Linked DNA regions of Bombyx mori. The protein of the gene in region 2 interacts with the protein of the main gene of each other region in a pairwise test. Links are inferred from orthologs where the notes say so. Each region holds a gene or a part of one and is shown on either strand. Other genes may lie near its edges. The genes, in order: vascular endothelial growth factor receptor 1 and protein sprint.

What was found.
Region 1: the proteins of protein sprint (region 2) and vascular endothelial growth factor receptor 1 interact in a two-hybrid assay, tested with the Drosophila melanogaster proteins (2 studies listed by BioGRID). The link is inferred for Bombyx mori from reciprocal best matches to the Drosophila melanogaster genes spri and Pvr.

What each region holds. Positions count from the first base shown.
Region 1 is NC_085119.1:9,930,217-9,939,326, forward strand, and holds part of vascular endothelial growth factor receptor 1, read right to left. Parts: intron 6,323-9,110; exon of another isoform or gene 6,194-6,322; coding exon of another isoform or gene 6,175-6,193; intron 6,055-6,174; coding exon 5,713-6,054; intron 5,632-5,712; coding exon 5,519-5,631; intron 5,209-5,518; coding exon 5,049-5,208; coding exon of another isoform or gene 5,045-5,048; intron 4,761-5,044; coding exon of another isoform or gene 4,628-4,760; intron 4,202-4,627; coding exon 4,062-4,201; intron 3,299-4,061; coding exon 3,130-3,298; intron 2,400-3,129; coding exon 2,282-2,399; intron 2,052-2,281; coding exon 1,873-2,051; intron 1,181-1,872; coding exon 1,041-1,180; intron 689-1,040; coding exon 400-688; intron 1-399.
Region 2 is NC_085124.1:6,167,541-6,176,750, forward strand, and holds the start of protein sprint, read right to left. Parts: upstream 6,352-9,210; 5' UTR 6,238-6,351; coding exon 6,211-6,237; exon of another isoform or gene 6,089-6,210; intron 1-6,088. UniProt on the Drosophila melanogaster protein: Potential Ras effector protein. May function as a guanine nucleotide exchange (GEF), by exchanging bound GDP for free GTP.

The DNA.
Region 1 (9,110 bases), on a different chromosome or scaffold from region 2:
AGTAGTATGAAATCTACTCTGAAATCGTGCAATAGTGTGAATTCGGCCTTCCTCAAAATCTATTTGAACCGATGAAACGACATATGAACAGGTTCTCTAACGCAAAGCATACACCCAATCTTATTTAGCTTTGTATAGTTAACGCAAAATTTTGATAATGACCCATACGTCCTTTATGAATCGCAAGCCCGAAGTTATCCTTTAAAGGAAGCCTAAGATGAAAACATTTGACAGGTCAGATCAGGATTAACCTAAAAATATGAATATGCATAAGAGAATAACAGAATCAAAATTAAAATTTACAGTATTTGTGGCCAAACTGTGTACTTTGTCACATATTTATTTTTTATTTAACTTTCAAAACATTCACAATTTTTTCAAATATTGATATCTTCTCACCTATGTCATCCAATATATTACCGTCGCTTCCCAACCAAGAAACATTATCATAATCGTAAACCGAAGCCAAGCATTTCTTTCTGGCACTGTCTTTTTCTGAATACCAATTTTCTAATGGCTGTAATATACCAAATCCATTGTTTATTTCATAAACTAAAAGTGTGCTGCTGTCAAAATATTCCCCCTTGGAGTTGTGTGCATTACAAGTTATGACACCAGAAGCTTGCACTGATATTTTGAGATAATCCGTTTTCGCATACAAAGACTCTTGCTCTGATTTCGTGGATGACTGAAAGTTTAAAATTTGAGAATCAAAATCCAGCGGTATTTACGCGGATAAATCATAGCTATAAATTTTAAATGTATTACGTACGAAAATGAAGGATACTTAAAATTTAAAGTATTACTCCTTCTTTAATCCAAAATATATCAGGAATAAAAAATACCATCAGCATTACAGTTAACTTGTCTAAAACTATTAACTACTAGTAATAGCATGCTATGTGTACTTATTATTGCAATTGTAACTCACAATTCAATTTAAAACGTTCATTATAAATCAATCTGCTATTATTATTTACACTTTTTTCGTGATCAACTAACTATCTATTTATGTATATATTAAAAATTAGTTTTATTACCAGTTCATGCTCCTCGTCATTAGAAAAAATCCAGGTTACGTCTGGTAAAGGATAACCTGTAACTTTGCACGCAAAGTTCATCTCTGAATTCTCAAGACGTTTAATGATCCTATTATTTAACAGTTTAGCTTCAGGTTTTGCTGTAACGTTTCAATTAAATAAGCATAAACGAACAATATTCATTTAAATACATGAGCTTAGTTACTAGTAGTATGGATAGGTACCACCAACATGCCTACTTCTATCGCAGTCCATTTATATGTACGGGTTTTTAGGGTGAGAAAATCGTTATACATACAATATAATTGAGACTTCGATCATTATGTCTCGAGGTGGGTGGCGGTCTGTAGGTACTAGCAAATTGCGGTCATCTTCATAATGAGTAAGGCCATATGTGCTATTTATTTATTAGTCTGTTATAAGAAGATTTTCAAAAACTGAAACGTTTATAGCAATACATACTTTATTGACTTTACAGCCGGTACTGTTTATGATCGAATTAACTAAACATCAACGATTTCACAATATAATTGAGGCCACTTCAGTTTTAAAAGTTTGACCCCGGCTATGTAGATTATTTTGATATTCGACTGAAAAAACGCTGTTGAAAACGTATTTTCATAACGTCGATGTCCTCAATATGAAATAAGGCCATATAAATAACAAATTTCGACAGTCTTATAAAGTTCCGATAGCTTATTATGAAAAGGACCGCAGTGGTTTATTTACATGTAGGTACATTGTTATAGTTGTGAACTTGAGAACGACCTTTTTTTACTGAAAAATGCTAAGGCCGTAACTTATGTTTTTTATTATTATTTTCGATACTTACTGAAAACTCTAAGATCCACGGTATAATTCTTCGTCAAGTATTTATTCTCCGCTACTAAAGTATAGTTGGCAATGTCGGTCAGTTTCAAATCGTTAATACGAAGTTTAGGATCTCCATTAGCTAATGTGGTTACGTTGTATTTCAAATCATTTGATGGTAAATATTTATCGTTTTTTAAGCTGAAAAAAAAAACGAAGAATAAAAATAGTATCGCTATTTTGTGGCCTTTGTGACTTTTTCCATATACAATTGACAACATAGCAAATACAGTATTTTTAGAGTAGCTATTTACTAGCTATTTAATATTAAGAATAAAATCAATTTCAAGATGTTTAATATTAATATCACCAAATCCCAATTACCTTTATCTGAAAAAATGGTTTAATTTGAAATAGATGTTTTTACTCACAAATGTGTCCTTTCAACTGGGGGATACGCTTCAATCTCAATGACAATATTAATGGATTTATTTGCATTTCCCATAAGTTTACCTTTCGCTAGATCTCTCAGCGATAAAAAAGGTTTTTCTGTAACATAATTTAATATGAAAATATGTAAAACTGAAGCACGATTTGTATTATAAAACAATACCGCTGATATAATTGTGTTCAAGTAGTTATTGTTCTAAACCTTAAAACAAAAGGCGTTTGAGGCAGGAATGTAAAGTGGAATGGGTATTTAAACTAAACGATTTTATTAATTACTCGATAAATGGTGTTATCATTATTTCTGAATCGCGTTATAGATTTGTTACATGGTTTAATGTATAAATGGATTTGCAAGCGACCACAACAGCTGACGCAAACTAACTTGCGGATACCTATGGTTTAAATACTTCAATAACTTATAAAGTAATTTATTTTAGAAGCATTTAAACATAGAATATCAGTTAAAAACTAGAAATTACGAGAAAGAACTAGAATTTACTGGTGGTAGCACCACTTGTGAGTCCGCGCGGGTAGGTACCATCACCCCGCCTGTTTCTGCCGTGAAGCAGTCATGCGTTTCGGTTTGAAGGGTGAGGAAGCCGTTGTTGAGCAAGTCCACCCCACTAAACAATAAAACAAAAAAACAAAAAACAAAAAAAATTAAAGTCATAAATTTAATTTTACCATAAATTATGATAATTTATTTAAATTTCAGATTGGCTATTTATTTTTTTATATTTGGATATTTATTTAATTTATTTAAATTTCAGATTTATGGCTAGCGGCTACATATGCTACCATTTTTAGTAGAAAATAAGAATGATATTACCTAAAAATATTTTCCTGAACTCATCTTTCTCCTCTCCACAAGTATTCGTTAAAAGGCAGGTGTATACTCCATTGTGTTTCTTGGTAGCATTTCGGATAGTAATATTCTGATAAACTATTGAACCAGTAGTCGTAGCTTCAGTCTTGACCACAGATACTTCCACTGAGTCCTGTGAACGGCAATTTTTAAAGTTGGAATTTTAAATTAGACACGCATATCGAAAGCAAAATAGTTTTCCATGAGCAAAAATTATAAATACAATGCCAATTGACTGTCAACTAATTAATTACCCGATCGTATAGTTTCGTGAATGTCAAATCTGGCAAATGCGAATAATGGAACTTTAGAGGTGTATCGCGATGGATAATTGTTCACTTTCTATTAATATTAAACTCTCGGTCCAACTGGTGAGGCTACCAGAGTCCATAGACATCAATCTGAGTTGTATGTTTTCAAGTAGGCATCGTAATAAACGGTAGTCTTTTTGACGTGTACAACAATATTTTTTATTTTTTTTTATTTATTTATTACATTGATGGGTGGACGAGCGCACAGCCTACCTGGTTTTAAGTAGTTACCGAAACTCATAGACATCTATAACGTAAACGTGCCGCCACCCACTTTGAGATATGATTTCTAAGGTCTCAAATATAGTTACAACGGCCGCCCCACCCTTCAAACCGAAACGCATTACTGCTTCACGACTGAAATAGACAGGGCGGTGATCCCTACCCGTGCGGACAAATGTTTGAATTTATAAATTAATCAACTATACAATGAGGTGGTTAAATTATTTTTTATATGTACTTTCATCAGTTCTGAGATTAGTCACTTAACATCTTAATGCTTTGTTATCTCCACATTTTAAGTTCAATTCGTAAAAACATTATAGGTAAATCTTTCCATAGTATTTTGGTTTGTACTAGACTCACATTGGTAACTTCAGGAGGATACTTCCATTTGAAATTAATTAATCCATCATTTGGTACACGGCAGTGTATTGTAAATGTTTCACCTTCTAAAAATTGTTTATGTCCACCTGCAACCTTTGGTTTTGGAGGTTTTTTAATATCTGAAAAGAACACATACGGTAATTTGATATCAACCTGAACACTGATCATATGTATTCATGTACTACAATGCTAATAAAAAGAAATGTCTAAACTAACACATCAGCAACAAATCACAAAAAAATAACATATATTTCTTCATCTTTCAGAAGAATTGGATAATTGAAAACAAAGTAAAAAAAAACAACGTAGAAAACTAAACTTAAATATAAAGAAGTATAGCAGTGTTAATTTGTTAGTGTATATACAGACGTTGACATGCAAAATAACCACACAGATGTAGAAACCAAAAAAAGTATAGGATTTAGGAAGTAGTCAAGCTGTAAGCTAGTAATACACAGAACACGGATAACTTAAACCATTCCAGTGAATAAAACCATTACATCTCGCTACCTGTTAGGTGACATCAAGATAGTAGCGCTACTTACTACGTATGAGTTTCCACTTAGATTGATTTCCACGTTGTCCGGTGCAATTGAAACCAGACCTACCACACGAACTCATTACAAATCCAATCTTTGGATAGTATTTTATGGATTCTTGATTCTCTCTACTCGTAGGCTAGTGATTATTTCCAATAAATAATATAGATGTGGTTAGTTGATATTTCGTAGAAGTAAGTATAATGTTTTCCTATTTTATGATTTTTAATTGTCCTAACTGTTTGTCGTTTTGATGCGTAAATAATCATAAAAATGAAAAACATTCGTGCCACCATCACGAGAAAACGAAGTAATGTTTAAATTACGTAGAGTAAATAAATCGACTATTTAAAAAACACTTTTAAATAATTTTCTCGTGAATGTGACTAATAATTTTGATTGGATCAAACAGCATCTATTCACCTACGTTTTGAAACATAAATATATTTCTCAATCCGTGTTTCTCCTCTTACAAATTCGCATAGTACAAAGCTAATGATTTGATCATCTGAGGGCATAGAGTTCTCAGGTACAAAACCAATTTTTGGACTGTATCGAAATGACGGGTAGTAATAGTCTGGAATTTCCTGAATATTAAAATGTTGTTAAATATTACACCATGATTTGAAAAGTATTTATTATTATCATGCTTTAATGACTCAATCAGCAACAAGCGGTATTATTTACTTCACATGCATTCTACTCAAGAGTTTTTGCATTATCATTGAATTATTATATGCAAAGAGAAAGCAAAAACGCAAAGCAATTAATTACTAAATGAGTTCTTGTAGTAACACCCGTTTGATATTTCCTGATATGAATTTACAGAATTGGTTTTTCTTTTGTCACGGACAGATTTTACACATTATGACTTCTGCAAAATTTATCCATACATACCGATGAAAGCGTGACATTGACGTCTGGTGTTGTCGGTCTACATTCTATTACAATCTTAGAACAGTCTCTTGGTACAACAATTTCTCTCATCGGTGCAATCAGACTATCTGATCCTAAAATATTCATTGGATCATTGAAATTTAACTTTTCACATTACTTAATTGATAATTTTTGTAATAAAACTATTTTCTCACCCTCAACGTAAATGTAAATAAAAGAAGCGTTCTCTGTGTTTCTCGGCTCTTCTATGAGATTATTTAAGGTAAAGTTTGTTTTTACATCATCAAAACATGCATAATAGCCTATAGCGTATTCGTCGACGTTATATATGTTTATAATTGTCTCAAAAGGGTACTCGGAATCGGATGTCTGTCTCATCGTTTTTATTGGTTTGTTTTTAGGTAATTCTTCCGGTGTTTCTTGTTGTTTGAATTCAAGCGGGTTTTTTCCTCTGCATGTGAGTGAAAAATTTTGTCCCTTGTGCAATATAAATTCACTCCTACATGGAGTTATTTTTGGGCCATTGGGGTGAAAATCTGGAAACGACAACCATTTGTTATTTTTAAGTTGAAAGTTCAACTCAAATTCAACTTAAAAATCAACTAGATAATTTAGCTAGCCAATTATTTTCCCTAACATAAAATATAGATACAGACTACAACATAGAACACTCATTTTTATATAACGTTTTGAATGTATTATAAATGGACGGAATCAATATTTTACATATTCTATAACGTAAATTATACAAAAACCAATTTGTCAATGTTCGAAGGGTCGTGTCATGTAGGTAGAGTTTAACAGTTAATCATGTTACGAAGATAAACACAGTTGTTCCTAACAAGGTTGAGTTTTATGTTTCGATTCACGCATCGATGGAACAATATATCATCATGGAGGTGGAAGGGATAAAATAAACTGAATAAACGATAGACTAATGCCCATCTACTTAAATTAAATATTAACCAACGATAATGTTTGCGTAAAACTTATATTTTTGGATATGATAATGATACGAATAAACACGGGAATGATGACCAAGACTTAAGTGATAAGATGGTACTTTGGGAAAAAAAATCAAAACATCCTGACATAGAATTACCAAAATTCACTTCAGTGCGTTAGAGTCCGTCAATATAGGACAAGACACCTAACTACGTCGATCGACAGTAACACTATTAATTAGCAGAATTCGTATACAGGGTGTGACAAAGGCGCGGTCAACATTCGGAAAATTAATCTTACCAGGAGAACGAAAAATGTACGTCGTATTACACAGTTCCCTGTTAATAATAATGGTATCAAAATTGGATAAGGCGATCAATTAAGTGATTAGGATCCCGTCGTTTCACTTATCAACAAAATTGGTAGCCGTCTCATCACATTAAGTTCGCAGTGACGTCTTTCTGGTATAATATAAAATAACAATGTATTTCACCATCTTTTTTTCCCTACCTAATCTAATACCTAATCGTTAATAGTCTTAAGAGGCTATTCCACTTTGTGCGGACCGGTAGGTAGACATACGGACTCAATCTGAGAGAATTGCTAACACTAGCCACTAGTTAGCCCTATCAAGAGCAGTGCTACACTGAAACAATCTGACTTAGGTGTTAAAAATTCGTCATTTTTAAATGAAGCATAATCTTGAACTGTAATGAAATTTTAGCACGATTTCCCGATTCACCCGGACGATGCCTGGGCGACCAATAGTTAAAGTATAAACTTGCGCACTAATATTTTATTACTTAGAACAAAAAAAACCGAAACAGTAGCACTGCTTATGGCAAGTTTTTAAATATTAAAATATCATCAAGTGTATATATAGTGTATTTCAGTTATTTTCTTCCAAAACCAAGTGTTAACCAATTGTAACAAACTGTGAATTTTTAACAAATTAACTATATAGTACGAGTATTATTAGATTGCCAGCTTTGAACCGCGACTTCTTATGTATTTTTCTGTACACCTAACAACATTGAAATGGCACGATCACCGATTGAGTTGTTAAGACGTGAAAGCGTTATAAACCAAGAAACTTACTTTCGTGGTAGGGTGTCTTGTGAATCTCCTCAGGTAAGTACCTACCAACCTAGTATATTGACCGTAAAGACCGTAAATCGGTTTGAAGAGTGGGACAGCGCTATAATACGATGGTGAGATTTCGTCCTCATTTTTAAAGGTGAAGTATTCACGTGTGATGTCTAAAGGCTCAGGTAACCACTAAAAATCAGGTAGGCCGTGAGCTCATTTTCTTTTTGCCTGGGTGATTATTATCTATCTATATGTTTAAACGTATATATACATATTAGTCTGTGGTTCCTATAACACAGGAAATCGTAATTTTGGGCCAGATTACTGTGCCTTACTGGTTCCAGTTTTTTTTTTTGCATTTTTTTAGATATTAATGGAATGACCGTAGCCCAATTGTCTAAATTTAGCATTTAAATATTACATAGCACTGTCGCAAAGAATAGATATAGATTGGTTAAGAATTTTTACGTTTCCGAAATGCGGATTTTAAAAACTGCGGCCAGCACCAGTAGAAACTTATTTTACAGAATTTCAACGGAACTGGGCCCTTCTTGTCGCGCACCTCAGGTTTTTCGATTGATTGATTTTCGTAGTTTATTTGTTTGATGATGCATTAAAAAATGTGTTATTCCTGATCCGTAAAACATTTTGGAGCTGATTAACGACAAAGGGAAGATCTTCCACCGAGCGGATGATATTGCTCGGTAGACCGACGGTCCGAATGTTGTTGTTCGGAACTTGTATATATGCGCTTTATCTTGAAAATGTCGTAAGCGAGATTCAGGCATCTGTCAATTATCTTGCTTTGTATGATGGCTACCCGCCACAACTTAATACGAAAAACTAGCAATGCGGCCGGTTAACCGTCAAAACTTATTCCAGTTTGATGAGAGCAATAAATCTCGACTCGAATAAGGGAAGTTCTCGGCCAATATCGGTTGGTCACGCGAAACGATTACGTTAACTGGGTAGTTATGGTTCGTTCGGCTTACCAAACTGTTCATAGATATTGATAGCATATAAACAGATCATAAAAATAACGTAACAAACGGTATCTAATACATATCTTGAATACTTGTGATATTACAGTACACAGATAAATATAATGTTCGAGATAAATGAAGCAAGTTTTTGTTTTTTGTGTTATTTACTTCGTCACTTAATGTCATTGACCTGAGTTTGGGTTTTTTTTCTCGTCATTGAAACAGAAGATTTGGTCACTATTACTAGATAAGCGCCATCTTATATCGAACAAAGTTTTGAATTTGAGTTTGTACGCTTATGACGCCGCCTCTTTGGAATCCAATTAATCCCCTTAAAGCCCTAAGAATTAAAATCAGATTCAAAGAAAATATAGCTTTGTATTTCGAACACCCCTCGATAATCTTCGCTTCTAAAAAGGCAACGCGACGCTAGCAATTTTTTTTAAATCTATATTAATTCGCAACTATCGCACCATAGTAGGCTTGTATCAATTAACATGGTTAGGTGCCAACTTCTCTTCGCCGCCAGAAACACCGTGATGAACCCTTAGAAAACACCAGGTGCATCTCGAGTT
Region 2 (9,210 bases):
AAGACAATTTTACAATTTTAAGATTCAACTTGAAAATATACGGTAGGCTAATTAATTTAAAAACATTGATGATATGATATTAATTTATCGCTAATGGGAAAGGCAAAGGACTTTAGTCCATACAGCCAGGTCTTGTTCTTGGTAATGATTGGAGAATTTTGGTAGTTTTAAAGGCCGAAGCCACGTGTCCATTGTTCTTAATCATAAGGCCGTTAAAAACATTGAATGCAAAGTGAACACCTTTCTGTCAAAAAAGTCGTCGTTGTCCAGTTTTTACTAAAGGTGCGGAGTTGCAGCTGTTTTGTGATTTTTTTAACCTGGTTAACACGGTCATCGCATATTTTATTACATAATCAACGGTATAACCAATCGCTTTATTTCGCCATTTTAACATCCACGGGACGGTACTAATACGGTTACGAGTTGCAGAGTTGTATGTCCGTTATTCTAATGAAATAGAGTCTCATCTAATGTCTTATTTTGCGACGACACAAAGGTCTTCTATGGCAAGGGCTTAATACCAAACTAAAAGATAATCTTCATTATTTCTTCAGACTAAACAAGTTGATTGTTTAAAAGTCCAGTCATTATGCAGATATTTATGAATGTCTAGAAAGTGACTCATTAGAACTGAATGAATATAAACCGCAAGCACACGCACGTGTTCACAGTTCATGTATTCAATGTAGTTTACGCAACAATGAAACAGTGATAAAAGTGATATTGATCAGACAGAATGCCGATGTACCGTACAAAATTAGGACACCGGGTTTGTTTTGATAACATTTTGTTTTTAGATTCGAAAAACCATAGCTCTGATTCCCGCGTACTGACTTGAAGACAGGTAAGATCGATACAGAAGCAAATAGCAATATAAATATTTAAACAGAAGGTCTTATATGATAATTGTTTGGCTGTTAATCAGAAGATCGAGGCAATGCAATATCTAGCGCCAACTCTTATCTATCAGCTCCGATAATCGTTTAGTGAGAACGAGAGCTTACCTTCAGCTATAAATTAATTTAAAAAACCTTCAAGATTATCATAATATCTGATCAGAAGGACGGCCTCCTTTTGGAAGTGAACGGAGAAGCATTAATTACAAGTCATAATATTCTGGTATAGCCTTGGATAACAAATGAACAACATTATGTGTAGGATTATGTGGGCGTTTCGCGAATCTATTATCCAAAGTGGATGCGTTGGTAGTGTTCGAAGATTCATCCAGTGACCTGCTTCTTCAACTAGATACAATGAACCTTGGCCTAGACCTAAGAAGTCCGCTATACAGATCGTGGACGTGACTTACTACGTAAACGACTATCAATACGACTTGCATTATTTCGTTCACGATTCACAAGAATGACGAAACGAGCGTCGGACTGTACCTAAGAGAAATTATGTTGTTACCAATTAATAATTCTGTCACAGTATTACAAAAAACGTATAAAACAACTATCGCATAATGGTTTAGAGTTCTAATATTTTAATAGAGTCTTAAATAGACATAAAACGTTGGCACCGTATGGATTACGGTCGCCGAAGCAGCCATTAAACATCAATAACCAAAATTTAAATTCAACGAAATGCTTTACTAGATGTTGTAAGGCAAGGTGATGAGCTCAAGGATGTTAAAATCTCTAACGTGATAACTATTCAAATAATGGAACACACGAGATCACCACTTTACCTAAGTGAAGGGTACCCGATGTGGGACTCTCAAACGTCGATCAGTATTCAAGTCTCGTCGCTCACAGGAAGGCAAAAGCCACAATGTGTCCGAAGACTTCCGACTTCTGCCCAATATTTTTGTTATTGATACTCGAGAAATTTAATTTTATAAGCGTTCTCTATGTCCTTTTGGAAATCATTGCGATGATTTTTTTAATTAGTTATTTCTCTATGTCATAGAGTCTATTGATTATTATTTGTTGAATAAAATTATTCAGATTTATGATACTTTGCTTTGTACAGGTTAGGTTTATAAAATAAAATAAAAAATATTCGAAATAAAATGCATAGCGTTTCGAGGATTTTTTTATATGTTTTATCAAAGCCTCAGTACAAAGAGTATCACTTTGCGCAAAAACAATTCAGAGGCCAAATGGGGTTTCATTTTTAATACTTATCGCTAACCAGAGGATCGGAACAAGCAATTTTTTACCGGAATTTTTGCACAAAGTGAATCGAGCACAACTTAACGCCACGATCTTATTTATTACATGTATCAATCGCCTTATCAATATCTGAGTAGCTATAAGCGGTGGCAGTTAAATGATTAGAATAGTAAGAGGAGCTATGATTTAAGATAATTCTTATTTTTGCCGTGGTTTGGATTGTCGTGAACCAAATGTGAAAATTCACGTCAAGTCTGATGTCTCCAAGCTTTTTTAGAATGGTAGGTTTTTATCTCTGTTTATTTAAAGTGTTCTGATTACTTATGATGATATTATTGTACTGAGGTCAAATCAACTGCGTATAGTAATTGAGATGCAACTCAGACTGAGCATACAAACACGACAAGTTTACACAAGCAAACGATGCCTATGTTACCTACAGGTTTTGGATGCCAATGACAAGAATACTGATGTATTCAACTGTATCGTATTTAAATTTACATATCAATTTGTTTGTTTTTTCCTTTTAACTATACTAAAAATCAATTATTTATTTTGTATTGTTGGATAGTAACATAGGATTCAAGTACCGGTCAGTTGTAATAGCCCAAAATGTACATTAATGGCGTAGACACATTTGTTTCCAATATCCTACTATCTTAGAGCTTGAAATAGCCTTGAAATATCACAAATAAGATGGATATGGTTTTTGTAAAATAATCCTATTCCATATTCATGAAGTTAAAGTAGTAATCACGGTAAATCGCTCGGAAAAAATAAGCTTTTACTTATTATGAAAAATATACAATAAAAACCAACAAAGCTATGTAAATTGTTCAAAAATTTTAAGCGATAGTAGTTTTTGTTAGTGTTAAGTGTAGTTATCGTCTTTATTTTGAATTCGAATAAGTGGATTACATCCGAATTTAAATCAATGATTTTAAATTTGAATTAACGAAGAGGGAAAATATCATTGACATAGATATCGTGAGAGATAGATAAGAGCTAAAAGATTATTTAACCGTAATCTGAAACATCCCCATTAAATTAAGCCCATTAAGCAACGATTAATGAATCTATTATCACATACATCTATGTCAACGGACCACAAACATCTCAAAATAAAAGCAATTCCTTGTGTTGAGATTAAATAATACATAAAACAAATAGAATCTGCTTCGCTAACCCGAATGACTCAACCAGGATAAAACAATAAAATATCTAACGCAGCGTGAAAGCGATTGATTTCTTCATAGGGGTCGCCCGTTCACCGTCTTACTTACTAATGGCCCTGATATTCTATAAAAAAGCCCAAGTTGAAATTCTCTCATAAATAGGTCAAATAGTAGGGAGCATGACGAATCGCTTCCATCACTCTTTGATGTCCCAAGTGGGAGTTGATAAGATTTACACTTAACCACATTAAAGTTTTGATGAATACGATGATATATATTATGTAAGAGCAGAATTGCTATCCCGATAAGCACAAACTAAGATATTTATAGATGGCCTAATAGGCAGACATTAATGAATAGCAATCATTTAAAATATCAGTTAGGACCGTAAATAGGTAATTACATTCAGGGAGCATTCCAAGAATTTGGGCACATGGTACTTTGGCGGTCAGTCGCACCCTATGAAGTTGAACCGCTATTCGCAATATAAGGAGCTGTTCGAAACAATGGGTCTCCTTATATTCCGTACCGACCTTAGTCGTGCACATTAGTGAATGTTACGCCATATAAAAGAGGTAATTAAAAACTCATGAACGGGAGTGCTAGCAGTCGAGCAAGAAACGCAATTAGAGATACCATTAGGCGAACAGCATACAGTAATCGCGATAGTGGCTTACTTGTTATGCTTTTTTGCCGGAATAAAAGTTGGGAATGTCTATAAAATATTACGATAAACAATTGCGTATTCGAATAGAGAATCGTTTGCAGAGTCACGGCATTTCATAATCACGATCGGTCACATTCCATCGCTGCGGCGGTGCAACGCCCTAGGATAGACCTGCTACGGTTACTGATGATGCCAGAATTATATACAAACAGCAGAAAGACGCTACCTACGTTCGGTGAGTAAATAACACGAGTAGGTGGGTATTTAATGAAAGGTTATACGAAAACGTGAACATGTGGGCATAGCTAATGAAAAAGTGAATGTAGCACTCAAAGTTAACGGATGATAATTCATCCTCTTCAATGTCAAAAACGTAAAACTGTTTTTATGGACAGAAAAGTATAAAGAAATGCTAAGCCCGGATTGATCTAGATTAGTCTAGATATAGAAATATGTGCGAATCCAGTTTAGAAGTTTCCATCAAAACCCGTTAGCATTGCAAAATAATGCACGTGCAAAAAAGAGACCGTTTACGCAATCGGTAGCTAGTTATCAAAGATAGTTGCCTCCGCTAATAGAAACACAAAATATAAGATCTCGAGCCGCTGACTAACGGTACTGTGGCCCGGCACTCTGTGATCGCATTGTTTTGGCCAATTTAAATTTATGGGACGGGTTGAGTATGTGGGTAGTCATTAGTCAAGTTAGAGTTGCTTTGGTAATGTTCTGCTAGTCGATCGACTTCGATGGCATTTTGTTTTGATTTTCTATAGTGAAAATTCAGCTATACGCTCAACGGACGATTTGTTTTATCAAAATATAAAATATTTTAAAATACCCAATTAGAAAATAACCATTATAGAGCTATCAAAATTATGTCGCTTTTAGAATGACACTTTCAATTGTGTAACTAATGCCATCATCACTGAATTAGGTACCTTTTATGGTTTCTACAACTTCAAATTAGTTTGACCGAAATCGAAGAATAATTTTTGAACACCTTGTTTTTAATAAGCAACAAAATGAAATGATCGGACGAACGAACGTAATAGTGAAATGTTTCGGATTATAATCGCTAATGGTCAATACGAAACGACAGATTTCATTTATGGCACAGATTAACAAGTCATATAATTTATTAATAATAATAATAATGGAAACTAGATTAAAAATGATGTATTGTTAATCCGACATGCAATGAAATATCGTTGCAAATCTCAATTCGTAAAGGGGAATGCCAATGTCAACGACCGACACCCTATGAGCACAACAATAGGACAGATCGAAAAAAGGGCCTTAAGCCATTACGGGTCCCAATTACGGGCTCCACTGGTAGCCCAACATCACTGATATAGAATTAAATACAAACGGCACGCGTCACCTTCGTTACAATATTTTCAAACCTGTTTGGATGAAATATTAAGAAGCTTCTAATACATAATCCCAAGCTAATTCAAATTGTTAACCGTTACGTTTTTCTATGCCTTGTTTTGCAATCAATATAGCTCTAGATATATTTTTAATGCAAAATGCCGAGAGTTGAAGTAACGCTAGCATCAAATCAAATTTGTACCACATTAAGCTTACGATTCAAGGGCTCGGTTAACCAGAGCCTGGGGAGAAACACGGCGATCAATTTCAAGGGCCCCCTCGCCTTATATTCAAATCCCTTCTTTGTCTATCTTATTTCATATACTCGGCTATTCACAACAAGCGAAGGCAACTCGTCATAGTTATAATAGGCCTCAATCAATACACTGAATGTTACACCGCAAAGTCGGTAGAGTTTGTTTATCGAACTCCATTATCAATTTTTACCTCATTTTATGTGTGCTATCTCTAATGGATTTTTTTCACATTTTCCTGTAATTATAATTCCATTACGTCCAAAATATTCAACTGTAATAGGTATATAATTTAAAAAAAATTAGATTTAAGTAATCTTAATATCAACAAATCAATTCTAAATTAAAATGCATTATAAACTGCCATTTTATACACAACAACGTGTCCCAGTAGATAACACTTATCAGCCATGATAAAGCAACTCTGTTGACGTTACCATTAAGAAATAATTCTAACAAGAAATTGCAAAAAAGATAAATACAACAAAAAAAAAAGATACATACTTGGAACTACAACAAAACAATCCAACGGATATTCACTGATAAAAAACACTACGCAACATCATAGAGCAAATAATAAAAATAATAAAAAATAACAGCGCAAGTGTAGTGAAACAAACAATTACCGAACGTTCTTCGTAAACTTTTTTCATACACTATTCACAGATCGACGACTATATCAAATTTTCTCGTGAAATTTGATATGTGTACAAGAAAAAAAAGCGTATCTACAAAGAGACGACGCTCGCCGCGCAAACCCGGCTACGACTGACGTTAGCGCGCGTTGGCTAGGCTCGCTCTGGTCGTGTCCCACTCTACGCATGTCCGGAACAATATACCTTCATCATTTCCACATTCATTCCCTTTTTGGACCTCGTCGTCTACTTTCCCATCATTATCAATGATAATTAAGCCCTGTATCTCGAGTTTTGCAATAGCATATTTTCTTTGTGTCAAATAAAGTATCTTGTGTTTCTTCCGTTTATTGTGAATTTCATTTCATTAAGAAGCTGTGGAGTCTCGGTAATTTTAGTTTTTTTTTTTAATAAGTCTACGTTGATATTCATCAAGAAAACTAGTATTTCTTGTTACGGCGTTGTTGTAATTCATGCAAGGCCGTTCATGATTGCATTGCATTACCGCTATTAAGGCAGTCGGCGTTTTTATATGGAAGTCACAAAGCTTCAGATTTATAATAGTCTTGAAGATTAAAATATATTAAATATTAAGGATACAGGTTAATGTGAAACTATGAACTACGGTTGGGAAATCGGAAAATAATTCAATAAAACAATATCTAACTTAAGACTGCAACTTTTTTGTTTGCTGTTATGAATTTTCAGTATTCGATTTGAAAGTAGTTCTACAATTTTTTTATTTTTATTGCTTTCATGGCTGCACCACCCTTCAAACCGAAACCCATTACTGCTTCAGGGCAGAAATAGGCAGGGTAGTGGTACCTACCCGAGCGGACTAACAAGACGTCCTTGTAGGGACGTCCAAGTAGGCAGCGGCTTGTCTCTGCCCCTGGCATTGCTGACGTCCATGAGCGACGGTGACTACTTACCATCAGTTGGGCCGGATGCTCGTCTGCCTACAAAGGCAATAAAAAAAAACGTCCTACCACCAATAATTATGCAAACTATAATATTGCGGGTTTGATTTTTTATTACACGATGTTATTCCTTCACCGTGGAAGTCAATCGTGACATAGCATTTTGTTTGTAACCAATATAAGCATTTGTGATCTCATTTAAATTAGCAATTTAAATACAAAATATCAATTACAGTTTCCTACTGTCGTCGCTACAGTGACGACAACGTAACAACCAATTCCATGAACGGGTGATACCTCAATGATACTTTCATAACTCTGTACTTTCACAACGACATATATGGGACATCAAACGAAAGTGACATTGTCATATTATGTCCACAGTGAACAATGGGAACGGCACGAAAGTATTTTGTTTCGAGATAATTCGTTTCGGAAAGTGAATAGATTAAAGTTTATACATTTTTTTTTATTGCCCTTGTAGGCAGACGAGCATACGGCCCACCTGATGGTGAGTGGTTACCGTCGCCCATGGACCTCAGCAATGCCAGGGGCAGAGCCAGGCCGCTGCCTACCGCTTAATACTCTCCACAAGCCTCTTTTAAAGAATGTCATAGCGCTCGGGAAGCACCGTGGTGGGGAGCTCATTCCATAGACGGATATACGTGGTAAAAAAGACCCCTGGAAACGAACGAAACATTTTTACTGTTTATGTATTCATAGATTTGTTTGTTACAAAATAGTTGTGTGTTCAAGTTTCGCTAGTTTTCACTCCGGGAACGGGTTGATTACAAATCCACTTTAGAATGTTTTTTTGTAAATTGAGACAGCTGTGTTCTAGTAGGTAAAAGTCTGGTTTTTTTTGTTGCTTAGATTGGTGGACGAGCTCACAGCCCACCTGGTGTTAAGTGGTTACCGGAGCCCATACACATCTACAACGTAAATGCGCCACTCTTCTTGATAGGTATAAGTTCTAAGGTCTCAAGTATAGTTACAACGTCTGCCCTACCCTTCAAACGGAAACGCATTGCTGCTTCACGGAAGAAATAGGCAGGGTGGTGGTACCTACCAGTGGACTCACAAGAGGTCCTACCACCAGTAAAGAGGTGCACTCGTATCGCGTGATGCAACTATACTGAGCTCCGAGTCACTCCGAGACTGAGGCGAGTATCATTTCTAAATAAATATGTATTTAAGTAGATGCATAATACGTGCTCTCATATGTTCCCGTTTGACCTATAACGGTTATCTATACATCTATACATATAAATAAAATTGGAGTGTCTGTTTGTAATATTGAAATAACCGTTTTTTATAATTTTTTTATTAATATATATATATATATATACGGTACATAAACCAAAATAACATTTTTTACAATTTTTGTCTATCTTTCTGTCTGTTTATTCCGGCTAATCTCAGGAACGGCTGGACCGATTTTGACGGGTCTTTCACTGATAGGTAGCTGATGATATAAAGAGTAACTTAGGCTACTTTTTTAGCCTAGCTTCGCTCCCGCGGCGTCACCCGCGGTACGACAATAACCGCGGGCAACATCGCGGGACTCAACAATCAATAATAAAATTTAATGTTTCCGAACCGAAGCGAGGGTGGGTCGCTAGTTTCAAATATAATTGAGACTTTCATCTCGAATCACTTTGTAAACTGTACGTCTATTGCTTGTTGACTTATCAAAGTAATAAAAATATATAAATAAAAACCTATTTTTATTGTGTATTATTTATGTATTAAAGTACTTAGACCTCTTATTAGAAGAGGGTAGTGACATTGACGTGTGATTAGCTACAGCGACAGCGACATTATATCATTCAAAAAAATAGAAAATAATACAACTCGGATAGTTCTTGATAACTATGTAGTAGCTTGGTAAATAGCGTGCGAACGTGTAGAACAAGTGTATTTTGAAAGTGCGGGCACGATCGCTACGACATTGAACTGTGCGTTGCGTTACTTAATAACGAGATTGTTGTTTCAAGTTTGAATTGTTTTAAGGTGTCAAAAGTGACCTTTTCGCCAATTTAAATTTAATTTTAAGGAAAACTGCCACTTG